2 linked regions of the Solanum lycopersicum genome follow. The protein of the gene in region 1 interacts with the protein of each later gene in a biochemical or structural test. Links are inferred from orthologs where the notes say so. Each region holds a gene or a part of one and is shown in the gene's direction. Other genes may lie near its edges. The genes, in order: E3 ubiquitin-protein ligase KEG and protein ABSCISIC ACID-INSENSITIVE 5.

The links.
Region 2: the proteins of E3 ubiquitin-protein ligase KEG (region 1) and protein ABSCISIC ACID-INSENSITIVE 5 form a complex in vitro, tested with the Arabidopsis thaliana proteins (2 studies listed by BioGRID, with this or other methods). The link is inferred for Solanum lycopersicum from reciprocal best matches to the Arabidopsis thaliana genes KEG and ABI5.

Annotation. Positions count from the first base shown.
Region 1 is NC_090800.1:83,435,283-83,439,847, reverse strand, and holds the start of E3 ubiquitin-protein ligase KEG, read left to right. Parts: upstream 1-1,495; 5' UTR 1,496-1,771; coding exon 1,772-2,502; intron 2,503-4,565. UniProt on the Arabidopsis thaliana protein: Mediates E2-dependent protein ubiquitination. Acts as a negative regulator of abscisic acid signaling. Required for ABI5 degradation, by mediating its ubiquitination.
Region 2 is NC_090808.1:3,413,204-3,417,675, reverse strand, and holds the start of protein ABSCISIC ACID-INSENSITIVE 5, read left to right. Parts: upstream 1-1,540; 5' UTR 1,541-1,762; intron 1,763-2,786; exon of another isoform or gene 2,787-3,071; intron 3,072-3,329; 5' UTR 3,330-3,360; coding exon 3,361-4,446; intron 4,447-4,472. UniProt on the Arabidopsis thaliana protein: Participates in ABA-regulated gene expression during seed development and subsequent vegetative stage by acting as the major mediator of ABA repression of growth.

The DNA of each region.
Region 1 (4,565 bases):
TGGGTTAGGCAGATCGTTGAAGAATAACACGCTAGAAAAAGAATATTTTTGTACTTGTTTTTGTATGTTGGTTACTTGTAGGATTCAGACATTGTGATCTTTCTGCCCAAAGTTTTTTTTTTCTTTTCCTTTTCTCATATGCTATTTAACACTTGAAAGTACTCCATACTTAAAAAGAGCCAAATAAATGCTAATACTTGAAGAGTTCTTGGGAAATATAAACTATATTTAATGAGAAACAATAAGCATTAAAGGCGTGTTCGTTCCGTTAGTCAATCTTTTTGAAATATTGGGAAAATTATATCATAATGAAAGTATTGAAGACCCATTTCACTAGTGATAGTTGTGTTATCCTCATTCTTTTTAACACACTTCATTTTTACATTTAGCCTCGTATTCTGGTTCCTATCTTTCACTTTCCTTATATTTCTCGTATTCTTTATTTAAATTACATAAAAGTATTTTTAAAAATAATATTTTCTACTTAATTATCAAACTAAAAATAAGAAATTATTATTATTATTTTTTTAAATAACATTCTCTATCGTACTGAAATAAATATATATCAAGGTGCATGTTTAGACAAATAATTTTGCACTACTAAACTAGTGGGACAATAAAGTTACAAGAAACATAGTTATATCTCAAATTTTTTGTTAGTCAAAGCACCTCAATTTTTTCGCATATGATTTAATTTCGTCAAGACAATTATAAAAGAAAATGGTTTATATTATAGACTTCTATGCAATGCTTTAGTGCATTAATTACAATTTTTTCAATGATTTATAAATATATAATTAGAATCTAAAAGTAATATTACTTTTAATAAAATAAAGACCACATGAATTATGATAAAATAGTTGAGATTAAACGTTCTTAATTTGAATATGAGCTCCTAGTAATGAATTACCTTCTACTAATTATTCTATATGCTTAAACAAACCTCCTCTGTAAAGCAACCATCAAGGCTAATGAAAACTCTTTGATATTTTATTTATCAAATTTAAAATGAAATGTATAATTTTTTTTTATATAGACAATTCAATTTAATTTATTACAGTAACTTATTATTTTATTTTAAAATTTTCACAATAGGTTCACTATGTAAAGTTATGGTAAGTCCACTTAAGATATAATAATAATATGCCTAATATCGTTTCACAATAATATATGCGGAGGTCTTTACCATCCATCATTAATTAGAGATAAGCAAGAAGCTAATAATTTAAACTTATCTGTAATAAATCCTTAAATTAGCAGATCAAATCATAAATATTAACTTAAAAAATAAAAAAATTATTATCGATAGACCTCAAAATAATCTTAAACTAACGGGAGGGTAAGTCCACTTAATAAATGTACTGTTCATTAGCAAGTGAAGATTTATTCACAGAGAGCTAAGCGTGCATTAAGTAAGTTGTACTATACGGTTCAGTATTTGTACGTAGATAAAAGTTTCCCGGGCATTAACTACAGGGGAGATTGAAAATAAAATAAATAAAAAAAAAACAAAAAATCGGTCAGTAAAGCTTCCGTCTTCTTCCTCAACTCAACTATTAACCCCACCCACCTTCCATTTTCTCTCTCTAAAACCCTTAATCTTTCTCTCTCTACATTCTTGTTTCTCCGTGGATCTGCAAGTACATATCTGTACCTACTTCCCATTTATCAATCTGACCCGGATTCAACAATCTCAATTTCTCTGAGGCGTTTTTTTTTTTTTTTTTAAATATAAATTATAGTTGTTGATTCTTTGTTTGATTGTAGTATTATGAGAGTACCTTGTTGTTCAGTTTGTCAGAATAGGTATGACGAGGAGGAGCGTTGCCCTTTACTACTCCAATGCGGTCATGGGTTTTGCAGGGAGTGTCTTTCTAGAATGTTCTCTGCTTCCCCGGATAGTAGCTTATCGTGTCCCAGGTGCCGCCATGTATCCCTTGTCGGAAACTCTGTTACTGCCCTTAAGAAGAACTACGCGATCCTAGCTTTAATCCGGGACTCCAGGTATTCGAGCGATGATGAGGATGAAGAAGAGGAAAATGAGAGGGGTTTTAATGAGAATGCTGAAGATGAGGAGAATGATTCAAGGCGGAGGCATGGTGCACGAGCAGCTTCAAGCTCCGGCTGTGGGGGTGGGAGGATAGAGGTGGGTTCGCATCAGGAAGTTAAGTTGATTAGGAGGATAGGGGGTGAGTCTATGAGGCATGGAGTGGAGATGTGGGCAGCAACTGTTTCTGGTAGAAGCAGCGGTAGCCGTGGGAGGTGTCGGCATAAAGTGGCAGTGAAGAAGGTGGGAGTTGGAGAGGAAATGGATGTGGTGTGGGTGCAAGAGAAGTTGGAGAGGTTGAGGAGGGAGTCTATGTGGTGTAGAAATGTGTGTGCTTTCCATGGTGTGACCAAATTGGAAAGAAGCTTGTGCTTGATTATGGATAGGTGTAAAGGATCAGTACAGACGGAGATGCAGCGGAATGAAGGGCGACTAACACTTGAGCAAATTCTGAGGTAAAAGTTCTGATTTTTTCTTGTGTCTTGGATTGAGGGTTACTCCTATTTCCATTTGGTCTACCTTGTTGATTTTCTTGTTCCAGATTTTGGAGGTAAAAAACTGGAATTGGTGTAATTAGAACTTTAAATTATGGGAAAAAACTCACATCCTCAATCTATCACACGTGCTTTGCAATGCTCGTCAAGAGCTGAATTTTGTCACTATCTTGCACCCGATTTTCCACACACTCAAACTTTGAGTAAATACATGTATTTGTAGATAAAAGATACCAAGAATGGAAAAAAATAGTAGCATCGCCTTGATTATATCGGCAACTTATACCACGTGTTGATCAGTCAGTGTAATGGCACTTCTCATCTGTTGTATTAGGTATGAGACACACATTTCAAATTATTAATGTCCTGAAAGTATTTGCTATTGAGAATGAATGAATTGATGGTTCTATTTCTCAATCTTTCTGACTTGCTCCTACGAAACCAAGAGTTCTAGAAAATATAGTAAGCAATAGAGACTTAGAGCTCCTATATTGAACCAAATGATATAAGGTTGACCATATTAAATATGAACCAAAGAATGGAATTTTAAAAACAGCTTCCAAATAAACACTATTTTATTTATATTACTACTTTTTTTTCCCCGAATAAGTTAAGCTTTTATTAAAAGAAGATACAGATTACTGAAAAACAACGTCAATCACTAACATGCCAACTGCATATCTCATGTCTCTTCTATTAAGTCCATATTTTTCTCCATACTTGCCATAATACTCCTTTTACACAAAAAATACATATTTAATAGATATCTATTCTTAATCCTGGATATATGTTGTCTTTTCCTTAAAGCAGATCCTATCTCTTTCCAACCTTATTGTCCATAAAACACAAAAAAGGATTGTGCTCCAAACATATCGTTTACATTATCACTTCTTGATGTTCGCTCAATAAGCTCTTAACATCAGGAGGCATTATCCACTTGACACCAGTCATGTTTGAAAAGAGCTCACAACACAGTCTTGCTACCTTAGAGTGAGTCTTGACTGTCTCCGACTCCTCTTCACACATATACTATCTATTACTAAGAGCGATTCCTCTCTTCTGTAAGTTCCCCTAGTTGGGCAAGCTTTTGCTGCAACCCATGCAAAATAAGTAACTTTAACAGGTTCCCTTGACTTCCATGTTGCTTTCCAAGGCCGTTGTGCAACACAATTCGTTTTGTTTCAGTTATAGACTATAACATCTTCTGGCTGTGAACTTTCCGTCATTGCATGCTGCCCATATCAATGAATATTCCTTGTTATCCTCCAAACTGGCATTGTTCAGTGAATCATTGAGGCCGCTCTTGAAAATCAACCGCCAACCATTGTTTGAATTTTGTTATCACCTTCCCTTTTTATTTGTGGAACAGCTGTACAAAGTGGGGAACTTTTCACTCAATCTTTCTTTCCCCAGTACAAAGTTGGTCTTTCATGGCTTATCCCACTTCATTGACTATTAGGCCACACTAAGATGTTGATATTTATTTTTGATAAATGATAAGTTCATTGGTATGGTGGGTAACGAGAAAACTGGTATACAAGTTGATATATGAATTCGTGAACCTACACCAAGATATTGTTCTCACAAATCATACACAGTCGTTTATGCTAGCTGGGGCCTTGTGGGTGCACTGAACAGTTCACTTGTGTATCAGTTGATACATCGTAATGTAGATTGATCCTTCAAAATGCAGGTGCAACTCTAATGTTTCACTAAACCAGGTCAAACATAACTAGATCAAATGTCAAACTGAGAATTCTGCACCAATCTGAGTTCCCAGTTTGTTTGTTTTTTAAAAAAGAACCGTACCAATCTGAAAATGCTTAAATGCGTTATAACCGTCTACCTCATGAAACACATGGTTGAAATTTAAATTTCATACCCGGACAGCTGACATGGTTAATATTCAGCGAACCTTTTAATATTCACTGGACTGCACAAACTTTTCGGTCCCTTCCGCATGTACTTCTTTTTTCCAAAATAGAAGGTTGCGCTGAAATTCAAATGTCACATTATGGATATAG
Region 2 (4,472 bases), on another chromosome or scaffold:
AGGGAAAATATGTGTACCTTGCAATTCATTTCATACTATAATGTTTCTTTGTCTGTTTGCATTTCTAAAACAATGTATCTAATAAAACTAAAACATAACTTATAAAACGAATGAATACAATCTAGCTACGAATAAATTTAGTCATTTAATATAACGAGTTTATCTGAGTTCAATATTTTCAAACGAACTATCATATATATGTGACAATCATCTAAATAAACTTTCAATAAAAGTTAGATTTGAACTTATAGTTTTAAATTATAATGTAAGATCTTTTAGACAACATTGTTTGTACTTTACATAAAATAAACAATATTTTACCCAAGATCTTTCTAGATTTGAAATACATGACCAAAAAAAAAGATTAATTTTAAGGGGCAAAAACAATATTTTTTTCAAAAAGTAGAAGCAAATAATTATTTTTTTTAAAATATAAAAATATCTTATCATAAATTTATTTATTTTCCGTATCTCGTCCTTTTTCTTTTCCTCTTTGACATAATCCATTAATTATAAAAAGAATAATTATTTTTACTTTGTTTTCTACAGTTCTTAATTCCTCTAATTTCTCCCTCACCTTTTTTCTAAAATAAACAAACTATAGCTAGAAAAAGTGAGTTAACTCTTTGTATAAATAATAAAATAAAATATAATAGTAGAATATTTCATGATAATAATTATGATTTTTCAAAATTTAACATTCAAAAATACTTTTAAAAGAAAATTAATCAGACACAATTAATTACTTAACAACTATTAAAACAAAATTAAATACTTCTCAAACAAACTACAACAATCATCAAAAAAATTTAATTAAGAAATGGCAAATATAAAGAAGTAAAATTGGGTTAAGAAATAAAAAATGTTACAAGTAATATATACATAAAAATACATTTTCACCTGACTATATAATATAATCTTCTTATGAATGGTTGTTAACGTTATCTATCGCTACTAATAACAACAACAAACTCAATTAAATTATACAAATAATAATAGAACGTAATCAAACTTCATTATAAAGATAAAATAATTATTTTTAGAGAATATTTAACTCAAATAAAACCATTTCAGATGATCTCAAACAAAATGATCAACATAATTTATTTATTTATTTTGGTCAAAAATACTAATTTCTATAAAAGAAAAAAAAAAGATTATGGTAACACTATAAGTGAAAAGATGAAAAGTGAAAGCATGCAAAGTATTATTTTTTACACATTATTTTTTTTTTAACCCTTTAGAATTATTATTTTTTTTTTAAAAGGACACGTGGAGAAGTAGGGTGAAGTAAGAGCCTAAATTAACGATTACCAAAATAACACCTGTCTAATACGTGTCAATCTCTCCATGCATGACCAAAATTTCCTATTTTTAGTATTGGTTTTTTTACAAGACTTCCTAAAATTATTTCTATGTACTAGGAGTACAATTTTTCACTATTTTTGCTTACATCTTCTAAAATGGACCCCACTTAACCCCCCACCCCCCACCCCCACCCCACCCCCTTGAAAAATTCAAAGACAAAAACAAAAAACCAGTCTTTAAAATAAATAAAATTGTGACCAAAATGAAGGAGAATACATAGTACTATCATCTTTAGTTGTGTCCTTTGTTCTTCTTTTTCTTAAAAAAAACAAAAGAATAATAATTTAGTTTTCTAATTTTAATTTTGTATTTTATTTTTGTTTGTGGTTATGATGATAAGTTCTTGAGAGACTTCAAAATCTTGGTGGAGCTGAAAAAATAATCAAGAAAAAAGGTATCCCTAAGTTTTATTTTCTTAATTTTTATTGTACTTTAATGTGCACCTTTTTTGTCTTGATGTTTTTTTCTTAAATTAGTCTTATTAGCTTTGTATTGAGCTTATAATGATTTGAAGATTGTAACACTTCATTTATTTTTGTTTGTTTTGTAAATTTATACCACTACCACACAGTGTGTCTAGCACCATTTTAATTAATAAAAAATTATTTAAAAACTCGAACCTGAATAAGTACAATCCAGGGAAGCTAGATCTTATCGATAAGTAATATCTTCAACACTGAGTCTTGTACTGTGTATTTGGGGGGTGGGGGTGGGGTATTGATGTCTATTAAGGGATATGATTTGATTGATGTGTAACACATTGGACAAACAAAGTAAAAGTTCAGATAAAGTTCAGATAGTCAATCAATTGAACAATTAAGATCGCAATATACAAATAATAAATTAATAATGGATAGATTGGGTTTACACTATGATATATTAGTCATATAGTATTTAAGGTTTAGCTATTAAAAGGATTTAATTTTGGGGGGAAATTCGATATCTTTTTTCTTCTATTTAAGATATTTATAGCTAGGGTTTCAAGATTGTAAATAAACTATAATATAATGTCACGGTTACTTTCATTAAAAACTACAGCTCGGTACACTAAGCTTATGTTGTATTTCGGATTAGGGAAAGGGTAGGATTACAAAGATTCGTATGCAATCTTATGCTGTACTCGAACCTCTGACCTCGTGATCACACGATTTGTTTGTTTTACTCTTTCCTTTTGGGCAACTTTAATAATCTTACTAAATACATCTTGTTTATTAGTACTAATAATTAATGTGTGAAAACAATTGAAGAAAAAAAGTTGTTTTTTAGATCTATGGTCCAATAAAAAAATTATTAAACAAAAGTGGAAAGTTCCTAAGGTATTTTAAGCCCACATGCCAAAGAATATGTTTCTTCTTTTGTTGTCCACTTTGATTAGACCCACTAAGTATATTTATTTTAATAAAAAAAATTAATTGAATATAGTATGTAAATATATATTTTGTTTTTGCTTTATTCACACTTCATCTTTTGAACCATAAGGTCCCTTCTAGGCTCTTATGTTATTAATTTTCTTGGGAGGAGAAATAGACGAAGACGATATGAAAGGCGGATTCAGGATTTAAACGTTAATGGAATTGTTAGTACATATACGGAGTTTAAGCTTTAGCTACTGGATTTAGATGAACTCGATCCACCCAACTATGTATTCGTAAGTACTCATTATGTTATTGGAGGGTAGACGTCAAGAGCGGAGCCAAGTAGGGGTAAGTTATCATTTATGTAGCATTCTTATCTTTTTCATGTTTTAACATCTTAGTATTTTGAATCGCTTAGTGAAAATCGTGGCGGGCGCGGGTAGATGTTAGATTCTATGTGTACTAAAATCTACCTTCCTATAACTTTGTATTATTTGAGCTTGATTTTTATTTTTTTTCATGATAGATGTACATCGTTTGTAATATTACAATTTTACGTGTATCATCATTTCTTTATTTCAATTGTTTGATATACGCATTTTTCAGGTCGCTAGTTAAAGATCCGAATCGTAATAACATGGGAGTACCAGAATCAGAGATGGTGTCTCAAAGTGAGGTTCAATCACCATTGCAACAAGACCAAAACCAGCACAAGAACAACCCATTCCCGTCACTCGGTCGACAAGCGTCGATTTACTCGCTCACGCTTGACGAATTCCAACACACTGTTTGCGAGAGTGGGAAGAATTTTGGGTCGATGAACATGGATGAATTTCTTAACAGCATTTGGACTGCTGAAGAAAATCAAGCCCACGCGCACGCTCAGCCTCACTGCCAGGCTGCAAGTACTGGGGAAGCAACTAGCGCCCCACGTTTTGCGTTAGGACAGGGAAATGTTTCGTTGGAGAAAGCTATTGTCGAGCAGCCAAGCTTGCCAAGACAGGGATCGCTTACGCTTCCTGCACCGTTGTGTAGTAAAACTGTGGATGAAGTTTGGTCAGAAATCCATAAGACCCAGCAAGAGCAGCAACAGAACAACGGGTGCAACATACAGAACACCGGTAACGGAAGTTCCACTCAACGACAGGCTACGTTCGGTGAAATGACGCTCGAAGATTTCTTGGTTAAAGCAGGGGTCGTACGCGAACAGGGCAATTCAGCTCCCGCACCTCCTCAGCAGCAATCATATATGATGTATCCAAACAGTGCAAATCCCACTATGGCCGCCATGGCTCGGCCTGTTATCGGCCTCGGTGGAGTCACAGGCGGTGTTGGCGTCGGTGTCTCCATTCCCGGTTATCCGCCACTTCCACAAACCGGGGTGGTCGAGGCACCTGTGTACCCTATGAGCATGAAAAGAGGCAGTGGATTCCCACAACAGTCAACCCCCGTCTACGGTGGTAGAATGGGAAACGGTAGCGGGGTTGGCTACGGGCAAGTAGTGCAAGGCGTAGCCGGAATGGGGTCGCCACTAAGTCCCGTGTCGTCGGATGCACTATGCGTAAATCAAATCGATAGCGGGGGCCAATACGGGTTGGAAATAGGAATGAGAGGCGGGCGAAAACGTGTACTAGACGGTCCAGTAGAGAAAGTTGTTGAAAGGAGGCAAAGGAGGATGATCAAGAACAGAGAATCCGCAGCAAGATCACGAGCAAGGAAACAGGTAATTTAATCTCATTCCCCATAATA